4 linked regions of the Schizosaccharomyces pombe genome follow. The gene in region 4 interacts genetically with the main gene of each other region. Each region holds a gene or a part of one and is shown on either strand. Other genes may lie near its edges. The genes, in order: pro2, rxt2, vps5 and gmh4.

Region 1 (6,096 bases), on a different chromosome or scaffold from region 4:
ACATAGGTTCACTAGAGCTTTCTTGTATAATAGTTCAATCAATAATTTGTAGGTCTTAAAATGCGTTCATGGATGCGCTAGCGATATAAGCTTACCAAAGTGTGGAATAAAGAATACAGTGACGAATGAAGCTACTAAATAGTGCAATTTAGTGAATATTCCTTTTGTTATAGATAGGTAACATGGGTAACGATGCTCAGTAAGCTCATTCAAACATGACACAGCCGGCTTCGTACAGCTTACATTACCCAACGACATATACATACTTTTGTTGTACCTGTCCCGTATTTGTGGACACTGGAAAAGTAGAATACTTAGAATGAGATTACCTCTGCTGAGTTTTGTTATATTTGCGCTTTTTGCGCTTGTATTTGCATCAGGTGTTGTAGAGCTCCAAAGTCTCAATGAGTTGGAGAATACTATCCGAGCTTCTAAAAAAGGAGCATTGATTGAGTTTTACGCCACCTGGTGTGGACATTGTAAATCTTTAGCGCCAGTGTATGAAGAACTTGGCGCTCTTTTCGAAGACCACAATGATGTCTTGATTGGCAAAATTGATGCGGATACACACTCCGATGTTGCTGATAAATACCACATTACTGGTTTTCCAACACTGATCTGGTTTCCTCCTGATGGATCTGAACCAGTTCAGTACTCCAATGCTCGCGACGTTGACAGTTTGACTCAATTTGTGTCTGAGAAAACTGGTATCAAAAAACGCAAGATTGTCCTCCCTAGCAATGTAGTTGAGCTCGATTCTTTGAATTTTGACAAGGTTGTTATGGACGATAAAAAAGATGTTTTAGTTGAATTTTATGCGGATTGGTGCGGTTATTGCAAGCGTTTGGCTCCTACTTACGAAACTCTTGGCAAGGTATTCAAAAACGAACCAAACGTTGAGATTGTTAAAATTAATGCAGACGTCTTTGCTGACATCGGAAGGCTACATGAAGTTGCAAGCTTTCCCACCATCAAATTCTTTCCTAAAGATGATAAAGATAAGCCTGAATTATACGAAGGAGATCGTTCTTTAGAATCTTTGATCGAGTACATTAATAAGAAATCTGGAACTCAACGTTCTCCCGATGGCACTTTACTTTCTACTGCCGGCCGTATTCCAACTTTCGATGAATTTGCTGCTGAGTTTTTGGATATGTCAAACGCTGCCAAGGAAGTTGTTCTTGAAAAAGTCAAGCAGTTAGCCTTAGAGGATTCATCTAGATGGACTAAGTATTACAAGAAGGTTTTTGAGAAGATTTTAAATGATGAAAATTGGGTACATAAAGAAGCTAAGCGTTTGTCTAAACTTTTACGCCAGAAGAGCATCGCTTTGGCCAGTGCTGATGATTTTAAAACTCGCCTTAACATTCTAAATTCCTTCCTTCCTGGTAATCACTAGTGATTTGGAAATGTTTGCTACGTTATAGGTGAAAAAACTTAATCTTATGACCGTAGGTTTATAAATAAATCAACAGTTTCATGATATTTTCGATAAATACTGAGGAATATGTAGGTTAAAGTATTACCCTTTAACAATTTTTTATGTACTTATAAAAATAGATTTTCTCTCCATTAATGATTTGTGTCTTTTTTAGTTTCTACGTATATGATAAACTAAAGACAATAATTAATATTAAATAGAACGTTGTAGGTAAATTCAACAGCTATATACTCTAACAGGCTTTTATCCTTAAAATTGAAATCCAAATCCTACATATAATTATTCCTTATCAATGGGCTATAAGGCTTTCCGTTATTTTACCACTACTAGATGGGCCGTTGATTTGTAAAGGTGAAGACAAGTCGTATTCCACTAAAATTTATCCTTTTTTTAAAAAATAAATTTCAACAGTAACTTTGTAGATTTTTTTTAAAATGTCTCCGAAGTCGAAAAGCACAAATAAGACTTACACAATTGTCATCAAACTTGGTAAGCACGGAATAGTAAGCTATACAAAAGCATATGTATGAATTTTATATCTCACTTTTTCAAATATGTATTTCTTTGTTTGCTCGTTGTTGGCATCACAAACGCTTTGCTAACATTATTTTAGGCACATCGTCAATTTGTGATGAAAAGACTCATGAACCATTAATTTCAAATTTGTCACTAATCGTTGAAACCGTTGTCAAGCTTCGAAAGTTGGGTCATAATGTCGTTTTGGTTTCAAGTGGTGGTATTGCAATGGGCCTTCGTAGATTAGATTTACCTAAGCGTCCTTCAAAGCTTTCTGCTGTACAAGCAATTGCCGCGGTCGGTCAAGGAAGACTAATTTCCTTATGGGATACCTTATTTACACAACTTCGTCAGCCTATTGCGCAAGTTTTAATCACTAGAAACGACATTGCCGAGGTAAGATTCAGATAATTATTGTTGACACTTAAAAAATTATTTTAATTACTGACGGGTACTAACTATTAATATTTAGAGATCCCAATATGTAAATGCAGCGAACACAATTTCCGAGTTGCTACATTTTGGGGTAGTTCCCATTGTAAATGAAAATGATACTCTGTCTGTTCAAGAAATCCGTTTTGGTGATAACGATACTTTATCGGCAATTACAGCTGGCATGATAAACGCAGATTATTTGTTTTTACTTACAGATGTTGATTGTTTGTATACAGACAACCCACGTACCAACCCTGACGCTAAGCCTATTTTAAAAATTCATGATACATCAATGGTAAATGCAAACGTTTCCACACCCGGTAGTGGAGTTGGAACAGGGGGAATGAAGACGAAATTGATCGCTGCAGATTTGGGAACGTCTTCAGGCGTAAATGTTATAATATGTCGTGGTTCTAAACCTTCGAGTATATTCGATATAATCCGTCAGGAATCCTCTGATAATAAAAATGAGTCAGTTGAATTACCTCTGCATACCCACTTTGTAGCCAAAAAGCAAGGAAGGATCCGTGATCGACACTTTTGGCTTTTGCACGGCCTTAAATCACATGGGAGTTTGGAAATTGATCGTGGGGCTTTCGAGGCTATAACCCGTACAAATAGAGCAGGATTACTACCAGTTGGTGTAACCAAAGTACATGGCCATTTTTCAGCTCACCAAGCAGTTACGGTTATTTACAACGGAGAGGAAATTGGCAGAGCCCTTGTTAATTACAGCAGTACTGAAATAGATTTGATTAAAGGCAAGAGAAGCAAAGAAATTGCATCCATCTTAGGATATAACGAAACTGAATATGTCGCCTACAGAGACTATTTAGTAGTTCATGGTTTAAATTCTCATCATGATTCACAAGTTAGTTCTGATGAGCATTGATGTATATATTTAATCACTAGCTTATTTAGAACTACTAAAATTTGTTTTTGCTCTGTTTTTTACCTTTATTATTGGCTTACTGTTATTGAAATTTTTTTGTTATAGAAGGAAGGTTTACGAACTTAATATACAAAAACAGAACCATAAATATCTATTAGAAAATTTATTAAGATTTGTTTATTTTTGTTAAAAAACTATTAACCTTAGATAATAATCAGACGTTTTGTACTGAGTTGTGTAATTAACAAAGTACATTTTGTTGGTATTATATCGGATACTTCCTACGAAGCCTGTGATTGGATTTGGCTTTCATAAACGATGAATATAAGTACACGCAATTCCAACCTCCCCTTGATACAGTAAAACTTACAAAGAAAACAATGAGTAGCTCGACTTACAGGAAATTGCCTAAAATCTTAGCTGCAGGTCTTGCTATTGGTTGCGCAGGTGGTTATTATGCTTATAAAAATTCGAATAAGCCCCCAGGACTTAATCCCGAAATTTATGCTCCATTTACAGTTAATAAAATTACAGAGCTTACATCCGATGCTAGCTTGTTTTCGTTAGTTCCTCAGAGCCCTTCTGAACACCTTACTACTTTGGAACCGATTGCTAAGGTAACAATTCGTGATCCCAGTATGCAAGTCCAGAGACCATATACCCCTTTGTACTTGGATGCCAATGAATTAAAGTTCTTTATTAGAAAGTATGAAGAGGGTCCCGTTAGTTCTTATATTCATTCTAAGAAAGAAGGGGACACTATTGAACTTCGGGGTCCTTTTAAAACCACCAAACTCGATTGTACGAAGTACCCAAGAATCGTAGCTATCGTTGCAGGAACAGGAATTGCTCCTATATATCAATTAGCTCAGTCTGTTAAATCCCCAGTCGATATTGTATACTGCTCAAGGCCTGGTCAGCCCCCTTTGCTAAAAGAAGAATTGGAAAAGGAATGCCCAAACGTAAGGGTGAAGTCCGTCCAAAATCGTTTGGTAAACATTCATGACATTTTGGATTGGGATAATGTTACAGTTCCTTTAAAGGATACCCTTTGCATTGTCTGCGGTAGCCAGAAGTTTGTTTCTACAATTGCCGGACCGAAGGCTGATTATGGCGCAAGACAAGGAGAAGTCAAAGGACTTTTATCAAACAATCCGTTTGGGAAAGTTTGGAAGCTTTAGTTTAGAAATTTTTGGCTTAAGATTTTGGGTTGCACGATCTTTGGACAATTGTGCATAATACAAAAACGATTTTTTTGTTTATCTTCAAATAATTTATTTTTACCGATTTGGAAATAAATTTATACAAATAAGGGAACTCTTAAACGTTACGTGTTATCAATGAAATGGAGCGGTTTTCTTAGGTAATGGAGAGAAAATAAAAAAAATAGTATTTAAAAAGTTTCTAAGTGTATAAATTTTTATCCATTAAATCTAATTGTTATTGAGGGTTTATGCATCTGCTGCTAAGCAGGTATAGTATGTCAAAAAGAAAGCCCATACAAGCAAAATATCTTTAAATAATTAATTGCATAAAATGTGAACGAGGGAAAGGTTCATTTTCAACTCGCATATAAACAAGCATTAATGCAAAAACTCATCAACTGCTTCACTAGTAATATCTTCAGAATCTCTAGCTTCAAATACTTTGTGCACCTGCGACACATCTTGAAACCAGACTTTAGCAGAAGCATAAATCATAGATAAGTCATTTGGGGTAGCACTTGGTCTCCAGTATATCATAAACAATGGAGTACTAAGTCGACCATCTGTGGTTTTGGTAGGATAGGAAACAAGGATAAATCTAGGATTTGTTTCCGAGAGTTCATCTGCGACCTCTTCAATACTCTGTAAATCCATGATTTCTCCATCGGGAACAATCTCCTTAGTAGCTTTATCAACCTTGAGAATGAAAGCATACATAACTGATTTCTTCAACCGCAAACGAAATCGATCAATTTCTTTCATCGTGGTATCCGAAATGGTGAACATACGAGCCTCTGATGACATCTTTCTTGTTAGTTTATAATATTTATGTAAAACCACAGCAATAGCCAATTAAGGAAATTTAATTTCGAGGGTGGTGCTTTTGTTGGGTTGAATTAATACCGTTCGTGCAGAATCCTAAAAGATATTTAAATTCATGCTAGGAGTTAAAAATTTATTTTTGAGTTTTGATAGATAATTATTGATTTTTTAAATACAAATTATTCATCAATTTTATTATATTCAAAAAGTCTATATCCACGTATGTGATATCTTTGAAGTTCGTAAATTGGCAAATTTAAGCATTGTGTTATATTTACAACTTGATAAATAAAAAAAAAAAAAAAAAAAAAAAAAAGAGGATACTTAAGGATAAATATTATATAATACCTAAGATTGAACGAACTAATGTTTTTTTTTAATATTCCTAAGAATATCCTGTTAATGCAATCACTTTTTTAATAACATTCATAAAGTCTTTGGTCATCGGGACTAGCTAATAATACTTTACGACGAAGCGATAAAAATGTATTACTTTAGCAGCTCGAAGTCGAGCGGTAATAAATCAAACACTTAAATTTAAGTACTTATGTAAACTTTACTCTATAATAGGCTTAGGTGTAAAAGTTTATTTTCTTGCAAAAAGCACATACTACACCGCACCATGCTATGTCTGGAGTAGTAAATCTGGGTTTCCCACTTCACCCACTTGGCATTTAGAAAAAGTCCCAAAAACCATCAACATCGTTGTTCGATAATCTTAACGTCTTCCAAAATCCAAACTTAAAATATATAGGATAATTTGTACAGCAATTTGAAGCCCTTTT
Region 2 (8,223 bases), 940 kb from region 4:
CATGGATTAAATACCAATCCTGATCAAGTCTTTCAAACCGTTGAAAATGTAGGCAAAAGTTTCGAAAAATATGAAACGTCTTTCCTAAAATCATTGTTCAATGGAAATCTAGGATTGAGCTTGCCCTCAGCTATTAATATCTTGACTTTGATTATAGTGTTATACTTCTCTTTGGTCATTGTAAATAAGACTACCAGTATTGCCCTTGCCCTCTTCAAAACACTTGCTGTAATTTCTTTTTTCTTACTAATCGGTTGTCTCTTTGCTTACTGGTTTATCAATAACGGATCTTTTTGAACATTGACTAGCAGCGTTATCTTCTTTGTTTTTTCAGATTACCGAGTACAAAGTGTTATGGATATGCTTTAAAAAATTTTATTTTAGTAATATATTTTTCATCTTTTTTGTTCCTCATTTCATTTATCATTCAAGATGGTTTCGACATTATTCTTGATTTTAGGACTGTATACGAAGAATGGCTAAAGGCCTGTAAAATATTTTTTAAATTAAAAGCATAGTATTGAGTACATTAAACATCTTAACAATTTGCGTTTGCAATATAAAACTTCAATTTCAATTAGTTACAGTTTTCAGAATTTATTTTTTTTTTGCAACAAAAATATTCAATTGACTTATCAGTGATATGAACGGAGTAATTCTATGAAATGTGAATATGAAAAGGAAGCCATCTCAAATAATACTTCTTATTTGCACAGCAGAAATTTGATTATTGCTTGGCTCAAGTACATGGTGAGTATGACATTATTATTGAGAACGACCTGGCATTTACATCCAATGTTTTCCTTCATCAGAGTTACGCAAACGCATAGACTCGATTTGGATGAAACCAGAGGTCCATGTAGGGTCAAATCCACCAAGCTCATCCATAGATGACAATTTCTCGTCATAAAGATGAGCAGTATCAGATTTACGACCGAGGACAGTGACATTGCCCTTGTAGACAGAAAGTTTAACTACACCGTTTACTACCTCTTGAGAAACGTTGTTAGCTGCTAAAAGCATACGAGTGCAGGGAGAGAAAAATTGTCCATTGTACAAAATTTTAGCGAGATTGAAAGTAACGAATTGGTCACGGAGAGCACGAACTTCACGTTCCATTGTTAAACCTTCCAAGTCCATATGAGCAGTACGCAAAATGGTTAAGCCAGGAGTTTCGTAACAACCACGACTCTTCAAACCAGAGAAACGGTTTTCAACAATATCGATACGACCAACACCGTTACGACGAGCGATAGCGTTCAATTGGTAGAAGATGGAAACGACTCCGCTAAAGGTACCATCCTTGCACTCTAATTTGGTGGGAGCACCCTTTTCAAAGTGAATGCTGAGCTCTTCAACCTCATCAGGAGCGTCTTTGGGATCAACGGTGAGCTTCCACATGTCCTTGGGAGGAGTCATACTGGGATCCTCGAGGATTCCAGCTTCATACGAGCAATGTACAATGTTTTCATCCATAGACCAAGGCTTTTTGGTGGTTTGAGTAACGGGAATGCCCTTAGCAGCAGCATATTCGAGCAAATCCTTACGACCGGCGAAGCGCTCGAAAAATACAGGCAAACGCCAAGGAGCAATGACTTGAACGTCTGGCTTCAAAGCGTAATATGCCAATTCGAAACGAACTTGATCGTTGCCCTTACCAGTGCAACCGTGAGAGACAGCGATACAGTTTTCCTTCTCGGCGATTTGGATCTGACGGCGAGCAATGATAGGACGAGCAAGAGAAGTGCCCAAGAGATAAACATTTTCGTAAATGGCGTTAGCTTGAGCAGCAGGAATGACGGTGTCATTGATGAACTCTTCACGCAAGTCCTCAACGTAAACCTTCTTAGCACCCACCTTCAAGGCCTTTTCACGGGCTGCATCCCAATCTTCCTCTTGACCAACATTAGCCATATAGCAGATGACCTCCCAACCTTCTTCAATAAGCCAGGCGAGGATACAGGAGGTGTCAAGACCACCTGAATAGGCGAGAACGCAACGTTTTACTTCTTGGGGCATTTCTTTCTTTTTCTTGAGGTGTAGTATATGTTAAGTTAGTAGGCCCAACCTTTTAAACTGATAGCGCACTGATGTAATAATATAGCCGACACTATTTTTTACTATCTTTCTCATCAATAAACCATCTTTATAGATAAACGATGGAAATTTTACACACATCTGAAAATTTTTCTTAGTATAGGAATTCTTAACAAAAATTTAATTGAGAAATGTGTGAAAACAGGTTTCGGTTAAATTACATGCAGGAATCGTAAATATCTTGTCACACATGCATTGATTAGTGTGTCTGAATTTAGTTTTGAGGAAGAAAGTGATACAATCATATCAGGGACAGTCAAACAATAGTTCTGATGGTTTCAGGTTTTTAAAGATTGATGTTTACTTGAATATGTTTTGCGATAAATCCTTGTAATCTTGTTGTTTCAAGCACTTACATTGTTCTAACAAAAAGAAGGTTGGGCAATTTCACAACAAATAACAATTTTAATACTTTGGGGAAATGAAAAAGCAAAATAAAGGATAAGTAATGTATTAACATACAAATGGCAAGCACATGTTAGTCGGTTGATTGAACGAAAAAATATACAACAGTGATAAATGAAATTATGTAACAGCAAACGTAAACGTACTTCCCTTGGAAAGAATAAGTAGAAAAAAGTGTGGATAGAAATTAGGATAGCCAAAGGGAATATGTAAGTAGCAGTATCTCAAATTATAAGACAAAGTTTCTAATAGCTGGGGATGCCAAGCTTGAGAAAAAACCCAACGTTATGAAAAAGTAAAAGAAATAATTAAGTTTCATTGCAGAAGAAATCACCAAAGACGTTTTAAAAAAGGATAATTCTATTTTTATAATGTCGTAAAAAGGAATTGTAAATCGAATGGAATAAAGAATAATATTCTCAACGTTTTATTTTGCTGACTTATACGCTTCATCAGCTTCAAAATAATGAAATTGAAAAGATTGATGAGAAATCAATAAATTTTAGGAATTTGGTTTTCCATCACTCTCATTTTTAGACAAAACTTGGGTATTACCATTATAGTCTTCACCTTGGCAGTAAGCAATGACTTTGTTTTTAAAACGAATGGCCCGAAGAAGGTCCATGCGAACGTTTGTCCAGCATCTAATAAACTCCTTGCTTTTTTCCAAAGCTTCTTGAACTGTGATCGTCAATTCTCTACACTGTTCAGGAGAAATCCCAAACACTTCATGAGGTGGTCCTGGTAGTGATGGGTCATCACCTAAAAGTGCAACCATCAATTGTTCGAGATGAGCAGTATATTTGTGTTCAGCAGATATAATTTCAAGAGCAGAAGAAGCAAGGATTGATAAATAATTTTGTTCAAATATGGAAGATATAGCAGGATGTGTGAGCAAGTCTTGTGGTTTTGTCAGCGGTGACATGATCTCTATAATTTTTACTGAGTTAGCAAGCGATCGATGTATATGACCATGATTGGCGAGTGCTGATAACTAATATTTCAATTCAATTCATAATCAATCTTTGAAAACACAACACGAAATCTCCAAAAGCACAATGAATCAAAAAAATTGTATGTCTAACATAACTAAGTGTGTGTACGACTTACCAGCTATGTTTATATCGTTATATGGGTTATCATGGTCCAACCATTCCGGATCTATTCTCCTTCGAAAATGAGAGACAACTCCTCTTTTAGTATTACCAATGTTATAGTACTATAAAGTAGTGGTTAGCAGTTTACGATTCCCAATTACTCACACATACATCAATGTCTATAGAGGAGCCACTAGAGTTACCGACGCAACCATAATATACATTTTTCGATCCTTTCTTTCTTTTTAATCCACGATTTGTAAGTGCCTCTCCAATGGAAGAGTCGGAATCCGAGGCTATACGAGATGTTAGTGAAAATTATAAATCTCATTTTGACAATAATTACCATCAGAATCTTCAAATAACGCCTGCTTAAACCTTCTAAATTTGTTAGAAAAATACATAATACGTGACATTCATAAAAACCTACTCAATTTGTTCTTCAAATTGCTTCATGGTTTTTGGCACGTCAGATATTCATACTTACTCAATCCAGTACAAATTAGCGATTTCTATCGCATTATAGCGTTTACATAAAATGCGAAAATAACCTGGCGTAAGTTGGGTTACTTATTCAATTTATAAATAAATAGTATTGAAACAAAAATATACATTGTTTTAATCGTTAGAGGTAAGCTGCTAGTATTCTTGAATAATAAGAAAAATCCCTTTCCGCAGGTAGGGCCTGGTTTATTTTGCTTTCTCGATATTCCTTTTCCAATTTTTACATGGATGGAAAGACCAGCTTTTTAACTTAAAAAAATATTTAAAAAAAATAATTAATCCATAGAGAATAATGTATTATTATGGAACTTTTATATTCTCACACTTTTTCTCCTACAAACTTATGTCGTTATAATGAAACAAATTGCTATAGTTTTCTTGGAAGAAGTGTAAATATTAAAAGGAAATTTCCAATTCAAAGATGTGGAAAGCATTAAAAAACATCCTTCCATTCTATTGAAAATTTTAAACAATTTGAAAATACCTCGAGTTTGGATTTGCTTTTTTGAAACTAGCGTTCGTCAAAAATAATAAGTAAATAAATAAAAATTTAAAATCTCGTAAAATTCTTACCAATTAAAACCTACTTAGTTTTTAAGCAAAACAAATGAGCAGAATAGTTAAACAACATTTAATTTTTATAAAAAAAGGAACTAATGGTGACAATCATGTATAAAGTCAATGAAAAATATGGCTCATCTGTTGTTGTTAAACAGATTTCAACTCAAATGAAAATTTTAGGATGGTAGTCGCAATTAGAAATTAAAGACAAACACTTAATTGTAAAATCTCTCAATACTATATAGTTCATTCAATCGCAGACAGCTCGATTCCAGAAGAATGTATATGTTTTGATACGAATGAGCGAATACAAGATTTAATGGCCGTTGAAGATTTTATTAATAAGAATGAATTAGTAGAAATTTTTTAACATTTAAAAAGTAAATTCTATGTATTTTCCCTTTTCTATTGATGTCCATCGTTTGTTTGTATATTAGGTAGTCGATTTGTTTGTTTACATTCTCGCCAACAATTGGTATTCAAATAACCAGCTTGGCGCAGACTTTTCCTCTACCACAAATATTTACAGCATAAAAAAAATCCAAAATTGAGAGCCTAACTGTTGTTTTCGACTTCTTATCATGTCTTATGAGGGCCGTGAAGAACGACCTGAGCAGATTGCTGAACCTACTTTCGAAAATGTGTCGGAACACAATGAACATGATTCGGGATCTGCTGAGGCCCAGGTGGAGACACTGGAGGTGCCATTGAGCAACGAAACCGACAATGATGATGCCACTGAAAACGCTGTTCCTGCAGAAGTACAAGCACCTGAGGAACCCAAGGAGCCTGAAACAGTCGACAATATCGATCCTGCAGATGATGATCCAAACAGCGTGGCAGCTCCCAAGGTTGAAGAAAAAAAATCCAAGAAGAAAGCCAAGGATGAAAAACCATTGACCTACACCACTGGTGGGTATTTATACTGTCGATCCAACGGACTTATTCCGTAAGTCAAAACAGCATCCATTTATTAAAAATCAAACAATCGATTGAGTAATCTTACTAACCACATGTAGTCATGTCATGAAAAGGTATTTTTATATGCTAGAAGGCCCTATGTCTATGGATTTATTAGACCATTATTATAAAAAACACTTCCATGGTACTTTGCAAGGTAACCCAACGGAACCTTCCTTAGCTTCTGAGCAAATGCACGACTCTGATGCTGATTCCCTCTTCCAGTCTGCTAATGATCACCTTAACCGTATCGCTAAAGCTACTCAAGACTGCCGTGGTTTACTCTTTTACTCCAAATCTCAATCAACTAGTGTCCCAAGCGGAATCATTAATTTGGTAAGAATTCCTAATTCCCCTGATTTTTAGTTTTAACCGTGCTAACTGTATTTTCAGACTGATGCAGTATCCATAGAACCCGGTACTGGAAACAAATTCACCATCAATTTTAACAATGGTAAATCAGAAACACTTGAAGCCCTAGACCCAGAAAGTAAAAATACATGGATTACTGATCTCAAAAATGCCATTGCTAAGAAAAAGGAAACCAAAGATAAAATTAAAGAGCTTCGTGCTTACAATGACACGCTTAAAAGACTCGGCAAGTTAGCAGCTCGTTCAGGTCCTTCAGCAAGTGAAACATTTCGTTATTTCCTTCCAATGCTTTCTAACGGACGGGACGCGAAAAAGTCATCTAGTAAATCTCATGGCGGAAAACAAAACAATTCTGTTGCCAAAGACGGTCTTTTTGACTTTTTTCAAAACATGATTAAGGGGAAAACTCCGCAAAACGATACGGCTAGTCCCATTGATAATGAAACGTCAGCTGACCCGGTTGATACTACTGTTGAAGCACAATCAGTCGAAGTTCCTGAGAATGAAACTAACCAAATTCCCACCACTGAAGAACATTTTCCTGCTACTACGGAAGAAGTGGCTCCCGCATCAGAAGAAAAACCAGCCACAGGTCCGGCAGAAGAATCAACATCAACTCAAAATGTTGAGCAAGCTTCTACTCAAAATGATAACGGAACCCCCATCGGTCAAATAGCAGACGCCATTGAAGAAGATGTTAAAGGTACAGCCCAATCAGTTGAACAAGCTTTCATAGAAGAGACTGATATTGCACTTCCTGATATAGCACTTCCCGATGTTGCGACCCCTACTGCAGACGATCAAGACCCTTCCACTGCAGCTACTAATGAAGAGAGTGTTGTCAGCAATGAAGATAGAACGTCTAAGAAAGCCGGAAAAAAGCATCATCGGCATCATAAGAAGAAAAAAGGAGGCAACAAGAGAGTATTCGGCTTTAAGCTTCACAAGTATGCTAAACCTACCAAAAGTGTTAAAACTTTACAGGCAGATCCTTCCCTTGAATTTGCTAAGGCAGGATTTGAGATATTTCCTTCCAACCTTTCAAAGAAGCTCTCAGGTTTGGTGCAAAAAAAAGTGCATAAGAAGTTTGATAAAGACGGGAGACTAAAAGAAATTTCCCAGTTCTCAAAAACCACAATAAAACCGGAAACTCCCTTAACTCCTACAACAACTCCAACGCCTCGAACAGCTGCACAAGAAGACCCAGCTGAAGAAACAACTGATGCCCTCGCCTCAGCAGAAGGAGAAAACAATCAGATGCCCCAGGTGCTCGAAACAGAAGCAGCTCCTTCTATAGCTTCTGAAGGACGGTCCATTACCGTTAACGCTTAAACGCCCTTTTTACTTCACATGTGCGCAGCAGATGAAAAGAGTTTTTCCATTAACGCTAGGCTTTACAACAATTACTATAATGCTTTCAACAAGTGTAAAAAATATAAGCACCGATATGTTTTACCGATAATTGTTCGGCAAATCCCACAGGTCAGATAATATACATAATCTCGTTGCTTAGAAAATGAATGACCTTTTTCAGTTTAACAGTAATGGAGAAAAACAAATTGTAATTATTGGAGTCAACCAGTAATAAATTAGCTTAACCGAAAAGCCAGCCACGACAATTAGCGGAACCACATTTGCACTGCCGGCGAAGTTTTGAAATTCTATTTTGCTGAGATTTTTGAGATTGAACAGGTGAGAAATCTTTTGCACCAGCGTAATCAAATGTAAGCTCCTCTAGAGGCTGAATGTCTTTGATGGCAAAAAAAGCGAGATCATAAATGGTTCGAAATCCATGGTTCCGAACAGCAGAATAAATAGCTATATTAGGTGAACAGGAGTGGTTAAAAAAACGAGAGACATCTCCATAGTTCTGAGCATCCACTGTATACTCGCTAGCATCATCAAACATGTCTAAATCAAATAAATAGGTAATACCGTCGTCGTCATAATTTTTGTCACGCTTGGCGGCCTCTGCTGAAGTTATGACTTCTCCTAAATAGCAAGTGATAAACGTGCCAGCAGGGGCAAATCGAAGCGAACGTACACCCCATCCTTTTTCTTTTGTTTTAAATATTTCAAGCGGAAGAGTTCTACCACGTTGAACAACGCGATTAGGACACTCCATTGAACAAGAACAAAAAGAGTTGCATTCATATATAACGGCACCCGTATCTGCACGGACCCGCCCCTGTGCATCATAGGCAAAATGAGTTGGCTCATCCAAATC
Region 3 (8,370 bases), on a different chromosome or scaffold from region 4:
TCATTGATGAGTCTTTGAACGTGCATCAAGAGGTTGCCGTCGATTTTGATCGGGATCTAAGTGATTACAACACTATCAAAGGGGTCTACAGGAATGGATATGAGGTTTTTGCTCCAGTATGTATGTGGCTAGACGCCATCGATTTACTGTTTGAGAGACTTAAGGCTTCTGTGGATGTTAGCAAAATACAAGCTATATCTGGTGCCGGTCAGCAACATGCAAGCGTTTTCCTGCTTAAGGGAAGTAAAAAAGCCCTCAATTCGTTGGATGCCAAATCTTCTTTAAAACAACAATTGGAAAGTCTCATTCATCCAACATCTCCAAATTGGCAAGATGCCAGTACTACCAAAGAATGCGAGGAGCTTGAATCTTGCATTGGTGGAGCCAAAGCACTAGCGGACCTTACTGGGTCTAAAGCTCACCTACGCTTTACTGGACCCCAAATCAAGCGTTTTCGTCGTTTGCACCCCGAGACATACGAAAATACCGAACGAATTGCACTTGTCTCTAATTTTCTAGCCTCGGTACTTCTGCAAACCGAGGCACCTTTAGACATCAGTGACGTTTGTGGAATGAATCTCTGGGACATTCAGAATGAGAAATTCGATATTCGCTTGTTGGAAGAAGTTGCTGGTAATTCTAAAGGACCCGACTTGGCTAACAAACTAGGTACGGTTGAGATTAACGGGGCAAAACATCTAGGACCAATTGGGAAGTATTTCGTTAAGAAGTATGGGTTTTCTCCTAACTGTCAAATCATTCCTTTAACTGGAGATAACCCTGCCACTATTTTATCCCTTCCTTTAAGACCGGGAAAAGATGTACTATTATCATTGGGTACTAGTACTACTGCTCTAATGGCTACTCAAAACTATGTGTGTTCTCCAGAGTATCACATGTTTGCTCATCCTGTTACGCAGAACGTAAGTTGAACTTGACTTTCTTTTGGTGAAGTAGTTGTTCAAAACTCATCATTTTCTCTGGTTTTCTAACTAACATGGACTTTAGCATTATATGGTAATGTTATGCTATAAAAACGGTAGCTTAGCGCGGGAACAGGTAAGAAACACAATCAATGAAAAATATAATGTTTCGGACAATACCAGTTGGGACCGCTTTAATGAATCGATTTTGAACCCCAACATTAAAGGTGCTGGTGAAAAGAAACAGCTCGGTCTTTTTTATCCACAAAGGGAGATTTTACCCGCAGTTGGACCGGGTACGTGGAGATTTGCAATCCAAGGCACCGAGTTGTATCAGGTGGATAAAGATGAAGAATCATGGGATTATCCAGATGAGGATGCTTCTGCCATAGTTGAAAGTCAAAATCTTGATATCCGCATGCGGATTACTCCTTTGCTAACTGGTATACCACAACCTGATCGTGTTTATGTTGTAGGAGGAGCTAGTCGTAACGAGGCTATTGTGTTTAAAATTAGCCAGGTTTTGGGATGTGATGTTTATCGGCTAAAACACGGCGGTAGTAATGCCTGTGCTGTTGGCGTAAGTGAACGGAAAATGTTGTTAATTAATAGTTACTGACCATCAATTTAGGGCGCTATCAAGGCTGCATATGCAATGAATGGAAAAGGATTTACCTTTGAAGAATATGTAAACAAATCTTGGGATGAGTCCAAGAAAATTGAACTAATCATGAATAAACCATCCGCCCAAACTTATGAAGAATATGGAAAGCTTTTACCTTTCCTCAAAAAGGCTGAAGACATTGCGATTCAACAGTCAGATATCCGGCATTGAATTGATTAAATGCTTTTCCATTTCGCACTTGATTATGTGATTAGCTATTGATATAACGAGATTATTAATGAAAGCGAAATCCACTTTTTTTTTTAAAAAATATGAATAAACCTTAGGATACAAAATGATAAACGTTTCCTACATGAACATTTTTTTGAGCTATCGTTTTGAGAGCTTTGAATCACGAGTCTAAATTAAGACAAATAAATATGTAACATAAAGTAGTCATACACCATATTATTAAACAAATTTTTGCATACGCTTTTACATATAAGTAACACAATTTAAGCAGGAAAAAGCGTTTAAACATAAACAAATATAAAAAGGCTTGAGTAACAAAGACAATTTTTAAAAACATACACAAGTTATTTATTTACAAAGGAGTGTAGGGTTGCTGTAAGGTTAGTAGATAGAATGCAATATTTTAAGGTACATTTTCTTTTCAAGTAATGAAGTACCATGGACGAAAAGGGAAATTGCAAAAAAATAATTAGAATAGAATAGAAATCGTCAGCTAGAGAAGTGCAAAGTAATAAAGCGGTAGTTGGAAATACATTAATACGAATATGGGATAGAAATATTACACGAAAGAAAAACATAAAAATTAAAAGAGTGCATAGGGAAAATTAGAGTCGTTATTGATCCAAAAATGATTCCCAACGCTCAATAATTTCTTTTTGAGATTCAATTGCAGATTCCAACCACGTTTCAACACTAGCTTTGAGATCATCAACTCTACTGGTTGTGAGAGAACTCAAATCTCGTTTTAACAGAGTTGTTGATTCCGAAAACTCTTTTTCCAGATCAGCAGCTTTTGCTCGATATTTTTCGTATTGTTCTTCCAAGTAAGGGAGTGATTTTTGCTGAGATTTCGCTTGCTTTTTACATTTCTCAAGTTGAGTTTTAGCACGAGAAACAGCTTGAACTGAAGATTGCCATGTCTGCCACAACTTTTGACGTGTAGTAAAGGCATTTTTGGCACTCTCCACGTACCGAATGTACTCCTCCAATGTAGTGCCCAGTGTCAAATTGTCTTGAGCAACCTTACGTTCTTGTACAAATCGAAGCTCTACCTGGAGTTGGGAAAGACCATCAAACTTGGATGATAAGGTGGGCTCTAAATCAACTAAAGATAAATTTCCAACAGCCTCGCCAAAATCATGGATGGCTGAAGCGAACTGTATGCGTTGATCTATGGATAAAAGAAGCGCGTGATAAACCGACTTTAGTTGAGTTTCCAACGAATCAAGTGTATCCTTTGCTTCAATTAAAATTGGATCCTGTTCGGAAAATTTAGAAGATCCAGAGGTATGGAAGGCGGAGGTGAATGAGTCAAGTAAACCAGATGTTGAGGGACCTGAGCGCAAAGGACTTGATGAACTCTCAATGAGAGTAGTACGATGTGTCATTCTAGGGTCAAATGTCTCTGCTTCAAGAAACAACTTAAATGAGTAATCATCACGTAGAACCGGATGGGCAGATATTTTGCGAAGCATTACCTCCAAGGCTGCTCGTCGCTGTTCAATAAATTCATCATCAAAACGGCCTACAACCTGCTTTTCCGGGATGGGAGGAATGATACAACCCGGATGATTATTAGAAAGCAATTGATAAAGAAAAGCAAAATCATTATATCGTCTTTGTACAGTCACATTGCTAACAGAAGGTTGATTGTGTTCCTCTAAACGAGTGGAAACCGAATATACGGTATGCGATTTAGTGATTTCCTTAACGGTATGAGGGTCATGAACTTGGATGTAAAACGGGGTAAGAGATTGAGGTGCCGCTGCCGGGTGCGCCTTCTGATTCTCCGTATCTGTTAATGAGGTTGAACCTTGCTTCTGGGAGGAGGCAGATGAGACAGTGTGTGTAAAATTTGGAGCAGAAGATGAGGCAGCGTCTAAAGTATCTACCGTCTGTTCTGAATTTGGTATAGTGGGATTTTCCGTTGCTCCGATAGGAGAAGGGGAAAAGGAGTTCACTTCTGAGATCCAAGGCTTATTTGCAGAAAAATCTGCATTCAAAGCGGGACTAGATCCTTTTAACGGATTAATTTTTGTATTTAAACCAACTTCCAAACGGTTGTTTTCGGGTGCCATAGAAGGTGCATCAGAAAATTGCAAGGGACCTAAAGGTGCAGAATCCAAAGTTAACGTTTCAAACGGAAGAGATTTCAAATTGACGCTTCGTTTCCTAGGAGATGTATAGATATGAGTTTTTGGTGGAGAAGCTTGAACATTCGGCGACTCTTCTTCCACTCCTTCAGCTGAGGGCTCTTGGTCGGTTTTTGGAGGGTTCAGTGGAGAAACGGAATCTGCGAATGGATTAAATGCATCGTCTTCTTCATATATATTATGCCCAAGCATGATGGTGGCCGGTTGGGTTTTTGGATCTGATCACTGAAATCGTGCCTGAAATGGTGATGCGCAGCCCAACGACGACTAGCGAAAAATAACGATGGTTAAATACGTTTAGCAATGCGGGGTGACTTGCGGTGCAACTAGATAAGTGTCAACAATTCAAGTTTCTAATTCCTTTTAAGGCTACATTAAATTATATTTAGCTTGTAGAAGCAGTATATTGCGTTATACAGTATTGTGAGTGGTGGGTGATAATATATTTATCATTGTAACAGCTAATAACTGGACTGAGAATGATGCTCTGTTCAATCTAGACTTCTAATTTTAACTACTATTTTATATCAATATCAATGGATGTTTTAGTAAACAAACATATAGTCTTCTGCTATTGTTCAACAAATTGAGATTAATTGGTATTCCATGTAGTGTATTTTGATGCGTAACGTAATGTTTAATAGCGATTTTAGTGTAGCTCACTGTCTTGTAAGCTACGCAGTTTGGTATCTGATTTAAGGATACGTAGAACTGCGGTGAGTTTTCCTTGTGATCTATTATATTACAATACACAGGTTGTATAAGTAGCAACTGAGTATAGGTATTGTATTAACTGGGTTATAATGTTACCTATCACTAATATAGCTCATAACTGAACTGAGGAACGAGGTTCAGCAGTAGCTCTATTTATAGTATTCAGATAATATAGATCTTAATAGATTATCATTAAGATCAATCTCCATATCGTATCATACATGGTACGATATATAATTAGAACATGTGACATATAGTGATACGCAACGTAGTGTATTATAGCGTAGTGTAGTATTGCTGACAAGTATGTTAAATAAAGCAGTTGCTTCTAACATCGTTAACTACTTCTCTGCAGATGCAATTCACTCATTGATCCATAAATCGTTCATCTTACTACCAAGTCATGTCCTTGACAGTATGGAATATTGAATCCATCAAAGATGTTGCTGAAATGCTTGGGATTGGCAATCTTGCCGATGAACCAGCAGCAGCTATTGCAATGGATCTCGAATATAGAATTCATCAGGTGGTTCAGGTAGGTTTCGTGAAAGTAGACTATGAGATTTTACTTTCTTTGGAAGAGGCTAAAATAACTAAAAAATTGTTGCTAGTTTTTTACGATGCCTTTCAATTTGCTAGATAGTCTGCTTTATTCTGACATTAAACATAATTCTCTAACAGTATTTGATTTAGGAAGCCACTAAGTTTATGGTTCATTCTAAAAGAACTGTTTTAACTAGCGCAGATATCTCTTCAGCGTTACGGACGTTGAATGTTGAGCCGTTATACGGCTTCAATAATTCTCGTCCATTAGAATTTCATGAAGCCGCTGTAGGTGCAGGCCAAAATTCCCTTTACTACCTTGATGATGAGGAAGTGGATTTTGAAAAAATCATAAACGCTCCTCTCCCTAAAGTCCCTAGAAACATTTCTTACAGTGCACACTGGCTGGCCATCGAAGGTGTGCAGCCAGCCATTCCTCAAAATCCAACTCCCTCAGATCACACAGTTGGAGAATGGGCATCCAAGGGTACTTCAGGGGTTATGCCAGGTGCTTCAACTGCTGCTAAAGAAGCTCGAAACGGTGTCACTTCGATGGACAACGTTGAGATAAAACCGTTGGTGCGACATGTGCTATCCAAAGAGTTACAGCTTTATTTTGAGCGTATTACCAGTGCATTGCTTGATGAAACTAATGTTGAGCTCCGTGATGCTGCCCTATCGAGTTTACGTGACGACCCCGGATTACACCAACTTTTACCATACTTCATAATGTTTTTATCGGATTCTGTAACTCGAAACTTAGGAAATCTTGTGGTTCTTACTACTTTAATGCACATGGCCTGGGCCCTTCTTGATAACCCCAACCTTTTTGTAGAGCCTTACGTCCAACAACTCATGCCATCCATCCTTACTTGTTTGGTCGCGAAGCGCCTTGGCAGTGATCCTAATAATCACGAGCATTATGCACTAAGAGACTTAGCTGCTTTTTTACTCGGGATTGTTTGTGATCGATTTGGTAATGTGTATTATACATTAAAGCCTCGCGTTACTCGCACGGCACTCAAAGCATTTTTGGATAACACCAAGCCATATTCCACTCATTATGGTGCCATCAAAGGCTTAAAAACTATGGGGAAAGAAGCTATTAGAGTCCTCGTCGTTCCCAATATCAAAGTTTACGAAGTCCTAGTTCGGAAAACCTTGGAAAAAGGAAATGAAGAGGAGATTTACGAGGCCAATAAATGTATGGATGCTTTGTACGACGCTTTGCTATTACTGCGGGATGATCAATTACCAAATCAACGAACTCTTCCGCCAAATGCTAGTGGTCTTCTTGAGAAGAACGTTGGCAGTTTAATGGCTGAAAAGATAATGAAGGAAAACGATACCTCATTGCTTCTTGGTCTGCTAGAATAGTCTTCGTTGGGCATAAAATATTTGTTTTTGAACAATTTAATCTATGAATCTCGGACTTTAAAATATTTACCCAATTTTCCACACTACCTAAACCATTATAGGTTCTATAATTAAAATGTTATTGATATTCATGTTACATTAAAACAGGAAGCACCGAATAGCTTTCAAATGAATAAAAATAGAATGATGATAATATTGATATAGTTTATTTCATGTTTTGATTAAAGATGTGAGACTAGCTGACAATGCCGGGTTTTAAATGAAAGAAATACGTAATAGAACAGAAAGGGGAAGGAATGCTTGATTATGCCAAAGAATGCGAATAAAAGTAAACGAATTAAAGCAATTAAACTAGGTGAGGGAATAGCACCATAATAAATAATAATACTTTATCAGATATCGATGGAAAAATAACTGCACTAATCGCTATCGAATTCATCATTGTCCCCCATATTTGTGATTACTAGACGTTTCATTCCTTCTTCAGCACTGTCCTCGTCTGAAGATTCAGAACTGCTGCTTCGTCGATTGACAAGATAAGATTGAATATCATGAGTAGGTGATCCGCTACGAGATTCAAAGCCGTCTGATTGAGTAGTTTCGGCTCTGGAGTCTGCTCTTGAATGTATTGACATTCCCATAATGGAAGGTGCAGTCCCACTATGGGTTGAGCTGGCACGTGAAGACTCAATCATTGAGATATATGTTGGTGCAGTATTCGATGTCGAAATTACCAATTCGTCCTCATCGTCATCCTTACCTTCGGTAGCAGATAATCGTGGAGTAAGAATGGTGTGCTGAGGAGCCATTGTACGTGAATGAAGCGAAGCAGGACGGGTGTGATAAACACCATGATGCTGGCTAGAAAATACCCTTGAGCGCATGCCTCCTAAGCCTTTGCTGGAAGACTTCCCATTTTGTGATGAACTTTTGATTGATGGGCTAGAGTGTAAAGGAGCCACACGGCCTATATCACTCCAGACAGTCGCCTTTGCACGGCGTAAACTCTGTACGTAAGAAAAAGTAGAACCATTTGACTCATGGTTGCTATTAATGGCATTCGAAGTTGGAAGGGAAGACCTCGAATATGGATCATCATGGCTCGATCGAGTAGCTAAACGTTCCATGCGATTAGTCTTCTGTCTAGTAATGATTATTATCTATTTATTCCTTCTTTGAATAAGTTGCTTGTAGAGTAATTCCAATTAATTTTTAAAAATTTCACAGACAAATGCCGGGATTAGAAAACGAATGGTGTTAAGATAGACAATCTTTTATTTGATTAAGCAATCAGCTAAAACTAATTAAACAAAGCTCATATATCTTTGAAAAGCGCAAGAATTAATGTTTCGTACTGAAAATTGCAAATGTGCGGAAGCTATGTTTACATGTCTCATTCTCGAACATACGGTGTCCCAGAGGTAAATCTTATTAGGTTTTACTGTAATATCCCATAAATTTCTGTAAATAACAATACGCAATTCAATGTGCTTTAGCGTACTGTAGATTCTTACACAAACGAGCCTTACATGCAAAAAGCCGATTTAATCTCCATTTTCCTTCTTAATTTTAAATACAAATTACATTTGACTTCCGATCTTCACTCATTATAGGAGACTGTACCGATTACATTGCCTATAGGGATCTTTCATCTCTCGTTATTCTCGTATAGCAAATTATAGCGCGTCGTAATTTTCTTTGGACGGCACATTCACTCTTTTGGAAACTGCATGTCTGCGAAGCAGTTGTAGAGAAGTAGATTTAAATGGATATCGTTGCAGAGACTCAGATTGAAGAAGAATCA
Region 4 (7,998 bases):
TGCATCCAAATGCATAAAGATCTACAGAATGGTTATATGATCCACTTCGTAACAATAGCTCGGGAGCCCGATACCAACGCGTCGATACATACTCAGTCAATGGGTCACTTGAAACAGATGGACGCGCTAAGCCAAAATCTCCAAGTTTTATGGAGTACCTTGACGAAATGGGCTTGGGACTGATCCTTTTGACAAGAATATTTTCAGGTTTGATATCTCGATGCATGAATCCATGCTTGTGAATATGCTCGATTCCACTGATTATTTGCAGAAGTATATTAAATGCTGTTTCCTTTGTGAAAAGTCTTCCTTGCCGCCTTTTAAAAAGCTGGAATAGATTGCAATCCATAAACTCCATAACTAAAAATATATTGCGATAGGGGTCCATAAACGTCTCCAAGAGATCGATTAAACAAGGATGCTTTGAAATTTTTCGTAATGCCTTTTTGTTAGACTCGTAGATAATAGGATTTAAAAAATGCATGCGATAAACACAGTAATTCAATTTTGTCGAGCTTGAGCTGAACGACGTTGAAACATCTTTGGTTTCTTCTTCTAAGATTTTAAGTACTTACCAAGGATTCTCTCAGCTTCAAAAGTTCATGCTTTGGTTTGGGCTTGCTACTGTTCTTTAATTTCTTCACCGCAACCTTCACAATTGTTAGATTTCAGAAGTTTGTTTTATTCTTTTCTTACTGTTTCGTAAAGTCCGTTTTTTTCTTTTCTTTGAGCTAAATATACCGTTCCAAAGCTGCCATCACCGAGCTTTTGCTTAACCAAATATCTATCTTCAAATATGACTTGTGTCAAATCTAACACTGAGTAAATACTTTCATTACTCATTGTATCTGTGTTTTCAGTAAAATATGTATAGTGGTAGAAATAGAAGCTGAGAATGGGTTTGTTTATGTTTGTTTACATTCCAACATATTACGCGCTTGGCTGCATTTACTCACCAAGCTCCTGCTAAAGAGCTTAGAATGAGTAGATCTTTAGATTAAACTTCAAGAATTACAATAAATATATGTTTTTAAGTGAATTACCTGAATTTCAAACATTTTCCCATTGCAGATCGATCGTCATCTCGTAAACTTCGTTTTGGAGGAATATTTTTTTATGAAAAGTTTTTATTGAATATTTTTTATTTAATAAAACTTTTTTCTCAACAAATTTGATTAAGAGGCTTACTGTGCTTAGTCGACTCATTTTTTCGCACTTCAACTCATCCTTTGCCAACCATTCGTAAGGACGTGGTAGTTGATCTTTTGCTTGATACATCTATTTTTTTTTACTATTTTTAATAGAATCATATAATTTTTTAACTCATTATGGCTACTCAAAACTACAAAGTTGCTGATATCTCTCTTGCTGCCTTTGGTCGCAAGGAGCTCGAAATCGCTGAAAATGAGATGCCCGGTTTGATCGCTGTTCGCGAGAAATATGCCAAGTCTCAGCCTTTGAAGGGAGCCCGTATTGCTGGTTGCCTTCACATGACCATCCAAACCGCCGTCCTCATCGAAACTTTGGTTGCTTTGGGTGCTGAAGTTACCTGGTCCTCTTGCAACATTTATTCTACTCAAGATCATGCTGCTGCTGCCATTGCCGCCACTGGTGTCCCTGTTTTCGCCTGGAAGGGTGAGACTGAGGAAGAATACCTCTGGTGTATTGAGCAACAATTGAAGTCTTTCCCTAGTGGTAAGCCTTTGAACATGATTTTGGATGATGGTGGAGATTTGACTGCTCTTGTTCATGAGCGTCACCCTGAACTTTTGGTTGACATTCGTGGTATCTCTGAGGAGACCACCACTGGTGTTCACAACTTGTACAAAATGTTCAAGGAGAACAAGCTTAAGGTTCCTGCTATTAACGTTAACGACTCTGTTACCAAGTCCAAGTTTGACAATCTTTTTGGATGCAAGGAGTCCTTGGTGGATGGTATCAAGCGTGCCACTGATGTTATGATTGCTGGTAAAGTTGCTGTTGTTGCTGGTTTTGGTGATGTTGGTAAAGGTTGTTCAACTTCTCTTCGTAGCCAAGGTGCCCGTGTCATTGTCACTGAAGTCGATCCCATCAATGCCCTTCAAGCCGCTATGGACGGTTTCGAAGTCACCACTATGGAAGAGGCTGTTAAGGAAGGTCAAATCTTTGTTACCACCACTGGTTGCCGTGACATTATTCGTGGTGAGCACTTCAACGAAATGAAGGAGGACTCTATCGTTTGTAACATTGGTCATTTTGATGTCGAGATCGATGTCGCTTGGTTGAAGGCTAACGCTAAGGATGTTGTTAACATCAAGCCCCAGGTTGATCGTTATGAATTGAAGAACGGTCGTCATATCATTCTTTTAGCTGATGGTCGTCTCGTTAACCTTGGTTGTGCCACCGGACATCCCTCTTTTGTTATGTCCTGCTCTTTCACTAACCAGGTCCTTGCCCAAATCGCTTTGTGGACCGATAACACCAGCTATCCTCTTGGTGTTCATATGCTTCCCAAGAAGTTGGATGAGGAGGTTGCCCGTCTTCATTTGGGTAAACTCGGTGTCAAACTTACTACTTTGACTTCTGTTCAATCCGACTACTTGGGTATCCCTGTTGACGGTCCTTACAAGGCTGATCACTATCGTTACTAATCTATTCTTATCATTTAGTTTATAGAATTTATTTTGAAGTTATAATTACTTTAAAAATGTTTCAGCCTCTTTTTTTTGCATGAGTGATGTTTCAACAGCATCTATGTCTCTATGTCGCCATGAAATGCATTAATGTTATTCAACTGGGTTTATGTGGATTTCAGGTCAAACATAATAAATGTTTCTTTCTTTGCATAGAATAGCAATTAACGTGCTTTCATTAAGAAGATTTGATGAATATAACATATGAATTGCTTGACTTGTAAACCAATCTGCGATGTATTTCCGTAAACGAAAAACATATCTTCCCTTGATCAAACAAAGGAAATTAAGTATAAATTCATTAAATTAATGTAGGAATATGCAAACCACCGAATTTGAAAGATAGGTTTAGATGAAGATGAGTTACTGGAAATGAAAGTAAGATGCTAAGACAGTACTAACCTACGATTGTTCATCAACCGTTTCTTCCGAAAGCTGCTTTTTAATGGCTGGAAGTTTTCTCTGTTGATAGTAGTTGCTGGAAGTGTTAGTAAAAATACAAGAGACCAAGATGATAAATAGAATACATACTCGAATATACGCTCGCATGCAGCAGCGTTCTCACAGTCCTGAAGAATAACCAAGAAATCACCTTCTTCGTAATTCAAATCGACCGCAGAGTTGGTGTATGAATTTAAAACTTTAGGAGACACAAGTGCAACATGATCCAAGATAGTGTTATGTGCTTCCAATAAGTGGGATAGCGCAGATCGCTCAGCTTGATCAAAACCGGCGGATTTCAACAAAGGTTCATTCCAAGCATCTAAAAGAAATGGCGCAAAGTTGTTATTTTTAATAAGCAAAGAACGCGTACTAATTCCATTATAATCACTGGTGGTAATTACAAATACATCAGATGGATCCATTTTACGGCGTGTACGGATGTAGTTCTTTAATGGATCGATCGGAGAATTAAGAAGCAAATGCTGCGACAGTTTTTCTGGTTTCAAGACCCTATCCTTGAGAGATTCGGAAGGATTCATTATAACAGCCTTTGCATCGAGCAACCATATCCAGCCAGCGTCGGGATACTCAGCCAAAGTTTCCCTCAAAGCTGGGATAATACTCCAAGTACCATAGACACCATACCTCGCTTGAATATCGCGGGCTTTCTTGTGGACTAGGGTATAGCCATGACGCAAGGCATACTCTGTACGATCAGAAAGCACTTTATCCAGGAAGACAGAGCTGGAGTCAGATCTACTTGAATCATAATGGTCGTCAAAACTAACAATCAACATGACTACGGAATCAGGATCTTGTGGAGATGTTTTCGCCTTAGAAACACCTTTGTATGAAGAGGAATGGGCACTGGGAGAACCAATCGAATTGGAATAAACAGGCATTGAAGACTTTAAAGAATAAAAGCCAAAAAGCAATAAAACGATGGCCAAGAGACCTAAACTTTTTCCTCTACGAGAAAATAAACGAAAGTTGAACATCTTGCAGAATACAAAGTAAAAAAGTGCAAAACAAACAGTTTGCGAGAAAAAATGAGTTGGTTATGCGCGTCTATGGAACAAGATAACGGTTTAAAAGAATAAACCTTAGGGGTTTTTTAAATGTGCAAATAATGTAGAAAAGAAGGTAAGAGAATATCTGTAAATCGAGAAGGTATAAATAGAGAAGAGAAAAAAAGGTATAAAGATCTGGGTCGTAAAGAAAATGGAATATATATGGCCCTTTTTTAAATGCAAATAAATGATCCAACGATATATACGCGAGTATATCCGAAAATTAAAACAGTAAAGATGTTACAGAGGGCGTTTTCACTAAGAAATACGAAAAACCGGATAATGAAAGAAACCTTGCGAGAACACAACGCCTAGCTTTCAAAATGAGCCTTTTTGTCAAGCTATATCGGCGATATTTAAAAAAGAGGAAGATTCTACAATTTAAACAACAATAGATTATAGCTTATCCTGACAACAATCCTTTTACACCGTTTCAAAGACTACGAGTCAAGATGGACTGGTTATTGATATTGAATATGATTTTTACAGAAATCAGGATCCACCCAACCACGTACTAAGAGCAGAGAAACGTTGCTTTTATAATTGGCAGCAACTTGGCTGTATTTGTAGTCTGCGTGTTCGACATTCGAAGGATTTTGATTAACGTGTACGATGCATCCTACCTAACGTACTCTAACGTGTTTTTAGATTTTTTTAGTGATATTGAAATTATACTTTAAACTGTTATAGCGTTATACCCGGTGCTACTCATTATATAGCGAAAATCATAAAAGTAAATAGTAAATAGAGTAAGATTGAAGATGAATTGAATCAGAGTCGATGAACTTCTATTGACTTAAAAAATTATGTATGTAATTAATAAAATATCATCTTGTTTTTTCTACTAACAAATTTTTACAGCGGTTATATACAAGCTTCGGCGTGTATAGTTGGTTTATATAAATTGCAAGCAAAGTGTACACCATTTTTTTTATTATTTCCATATAAAGAAAAAAAAAAAAAAAAAAAAAGGGGATTCTATAGCCCTTTGGTATTTACGAAGACTCATTGATAGTTTAAATCGCACTCATTGAATGGCATTAAACACATTTGTTTGTTTGAATTTTTTTCATTGTTTATGAAGTACAGGATTTTTTTTTTTACCTATCAATAAAAGTATTGATATAAAATATCCCTTTACCTTGATCAATACTTCAAAAAAAATTTAAAATTAGTTTAATTATATTAAATGGACGGTTTTTAGCCTGGTAAATGAAATTCATGCCTTTACTCTTCACCAACTTTTTAAGACGTTAAAATTTTTATAAAAAGCCAAATCCTAATATTCTGTTTCCCAAGACAGCAAAAAGTAAATAAAATACTGCTACTTGGGCCATATTATTACTTCTCATTAATTGCTTACAGAAACTGCTATGGAAAAAGAAAGCGAAATACAAAGCTTACCACCAACGAGACGATATACGATATCTTTAGCATTACCTATTTCAAGTCTAAATGTAGCATACAATTTGCAGCTTAAAACGAGTTTTGTCTGGAAGGTTTGAAAGATTCGTTGTTGTCGCGTATTAACTCAAAATATAGATTTCGAGAATAGTTTCTCTATATGGTATTGACGAAATTATTTTGCTAGAGGACCCTGAATATGTGCAAAACACCCAGGTACATACACTTTCCTCTGATGCTTATTTAAAGGATCCCACAAAATTTCTCACGGACTTATTATGCTATTTCGAAACGCCTTTCTTTATGAGGAAGGAATTGTTTCCACTAAATCCACATCTAAAATATACTAGCTGCTTTCCATTACTTCCCCTCAGAAATGACAAGGCTAGCACAGTGAATATTGAATTCCCATACCGAGAGGGAATCGTTACTCATCCATCTCCGCAAGCAAAGAATAAATATATTATAAATGCTGGACTATCTCACAATGTAATCGTTTCCAGCCCCAGCGTCCTTGCTCCTAGAACAAGGGTCACGGTTCGATTAAAAGCGCAGTCTCCAAACGAAGAAGGCCAGCTTCAAGGTGATATCGTGTCTTTTTCAGCTCCACGAGAAAAAGGTGGTCATTATTGGGGTTACAAGGTGCGGTCATGTCTTTCTTCTCAGCTGTGTAAAAGTTCTCCTTACAAAGGTGGATATGACTTTGTTGTTCAAATCAACAGTCAGACTTCAGCTATTACTTCAAAAGAGTTAGAAGCGAGTTTACCAAGTTCGTTTCGGCATGCTGTTCTTGTTTTACAAGACAATGTCGTACAAAAAGAGCTCGTAGACTCCACTGCCAAAAGTATTTCTTTTAACCCATTCCCAGTTTCTTTTCTAAATGATCCCATTCCTGAAGAGATACTTTTGGCGGCCATGACCCGTTTGTCAGATATGTTGCTGATGCATGGACGACGATAAAGCCTAAATACTTACAAAGGTGAAGCTGTCTTTTTCTTACTTAAATATTATAAAGCTGTCTCGCTAATCAAGGAAAACAAAATCAATTTTGAATATGATAAATTATAAGGATAACTTGGGTATAAAGACGATATTAGAAACTAAGACGAGAATTATTATGATTAAAATTATATCTAAGAGTGTATTGTTGAAATAAAGAATAAAAAAATTTAAAAGATGATTCGAGTCAATGCAAAAAAGGGTAATTCTGTTGAAGACAAACTCCTATCGAGTGTACCTAGATAAGCAGCCATGTTTAAACACTCATAGAAGCAGGGTTTCCTGATCTCTTTTTAATAAGATTCTCCATAAAATATTCGCCAGCCTTATAGCTACTACGAACAAGTGGACCACTAGCCACGTATAAGAATCCTAATTTCTCTGCCACTTCTTTCCAATATTCAAACTTCTTAGGATGTACATACTCTTGCACTTTTAGGTGTCGTTTGGTAGGTCTCATATATTGACCAAAGGTAACGACATCTACATTATGTTCCAGGAGATCCTTAAGAGTTGTTAGAATTTCCGCATCGGTTTCACCTAGACCAAGCATAATACTGGTTTTAGTGATAAGGTGAGGACATGTTTTCTTCACATGTTTTAGCACGCTCAGACTTTGTCGATATGTGGCTCGTCGATCTCGAACAAATGGGGTAAGTTCCTCTACCGTTTCTACATTGTGTGCAAAGACGTCCAAACCAGATTTAGCTACAATCTCAACCAAATCCATTCTTCCACTAAAATCGGGGGTCAAAGCTTCTACCAAGATGTGCGGGGCTTTTTCTTTAATTTTTTGAATCGTTTTTGCTATATGATTGGCACCAAGGTCAGTCAGGTCATCTCTATCGACACTAGTGAGAACAATGTACCCAAGGTTCCATTGTTTGATGGCTTCTGCTGTATTTTCAGGCTCGTTGGGATCTAAAGGACCTGGACGGCGACTGGTCTTTACCGAACAAAAGCGACATCCACGAGTACAAGTATCACCCATAAGCATGATCGTAGCTGTGGCACGAGATTTGTCTTTACCTCCCCAGCATTCTCCAATATTCGGACATTTCGCTTCTTCACAAACCGTATGGAGATGAGATCCCCGCAAATCATGCTTTATTCGGTTAAAATTTGTTCCTAGTGGAACTTTGGTTTTAAGCCATGAAGGCAATCTTTTGTGTATAGAGCCATTTGGTAGCTCTACTTTTCTATCTAACTCGAAAGCTTCGTCAGCAGTCAATGGTTTATCCATGTTCAAGAAATCTGCAAATGATGGTCCTTTCGCCAACTTTTCTGAAAACCCTCCAGATTGAAACCTCACGGAGGCAAACTATGCTATATTAATAAAACTATAAATAAAAGAAAACTCACCCAAAAATTGTTTTTTAATATCGTAGCATTTCGACCTATTTTCAACA

Evidence for each region.
Region 1: mutations in gmh4 (region 4) and pro2 together harm fitness less than expected from each alone (positive genetic interaction), as found in Schizosaccharomyces pombe (one large-scale study listed by BioGRID).
Region 2: mutations in gmh4 (region 4) and rxt2 together harm fitness more than expected from each alone (negative genetic interaction), as found in Schizosaccharomyces pombe (one large-scale study listed by BioGRID).
Region 3: mutations in gmh4 (region 4) and vps5 together harm fitness more than expected from each alone (negative genetic interaction), as found in Schizosaccharomyces pombe (one large-scale study listed by BioGRID).

Annotation. Positions count from the first base shown.
Region 1 is NC_003424.3:2,024,532-2,030,627, reverse strand, and holds pro2 (glutamate 5-kinase), read left to right. Parts: upstream 1-1,760; 5' UTR 1,761-1,875; coding exon 1,876-1,930; intron 1,931-2,054; coding exon 2,055-2,353; exon of another isoform or gene 2,354-2,429; coding exon 2,430-3,284; 3' UTR 3,285-3,420; downstream 3,421-6,096. Other genes in the region: ER protein disulfide isomerase Pdi2, read left to right, coding at 320-1,399; cytochrome c-heme-linkage protein Cyc2, read left to right, coding at 3,665-4,465; actin regulatory protein gmf1, read right to left, coding at 4,868-5,293.
Region 2 is NC_003423.3:448,985-457,207, forward strand, and holds rxt2 (Clr6 and Rpd3L histone deacetylase complex subunit Rxt2), read right to left. Parts: upstream 4,062-8,223; 5' UTR 4,056-4,061; coding exon 4,030-4,055; exon of another isoform or gene 3,981-4,029; coding exon 3,946-3,980; exon of another isoform or gene 3,896-3,945; coding exon 3,771-3,895; intron 3,722-3,770; coding exon 3,613-3,721; intron 3,433-3,612; coding exon 3,005-3,432; 3' UTR 2,043-3,004; downstream 1-2,042. Other genes in the region: nuclear membrane organization protein Apq12, read left to right, coding at 1-297; arg12 (argininosuccinate synthase), read right to left, coding at 787-2,019; pleckstrin homology domain protein Meu6, read left to right, coding at 5,246-5,613, 5,684-5,960, 6,018-7,328; histone lysine H3-K9 methyltransferase (Suv39) Clr4, read right to left, coding at 7,591-8,223.
Region 3 is NC_003421.2:698,361-706,730, reverse strand, and holds vps5 (retromer complex subunit Vps5), read right to left. Parts: upstream 4,135-8,370; 5' UTR 4,125-4,134; coding exon 2,394-4,124; 3' UTR 1,913-2,393; downstream 1-1,912. Other genes in the region: xks1 (xylulose kinase), read left to right, coding at 1-923, 1,009-1,503, 1,555-1,758; TATA-binding protein-associated factor TAF6, read left to right, coding at 5,050-5,181, 5,340-6,566; protein mug123, read right to left, coding at 6,986-7,693; RNA cap binding protein cbc3, read left to right, coding at 8,332-8,370. UniProt on the Schizosaccharomyces pombe protein: Required for efficient sporulation target of PtdIns(3)P in vesicle transport required for onset of the forespore membrane formation. Plays a role in vesicular protein sorting.
Region 4 is NC_003423.3:1,386,299-1,394,296, reverse strand, and holds gmh4 (alpha-1,2-galactosyltransferase Gmh4), read right to left. Parts: upstream 4,762-7,998; 5' UTR 4,115-4,761; coding exon 3,204-4,114; intron 3,151-3,203; coding exon 3,075-3,150; 3' UTR 2,631-3,074; downstream 1-2,630. Other genes in the region: serine/threonine protein kinase Mde3, read right to left, coding at 1-442, 576-650, 697-843; SPOM_SPBC8D2.18C (adenosylhomocysteinase), read left to right, coding at 1,329-2,630; SPOM_SPBC8D2.16C (uncharacterized protein), read left to right, coding at 5,560-5,685, 5,729-6,550; lipoic acid synthetase Lip5, read right to left, coding at 6,846-7,910, 7,952-7,998.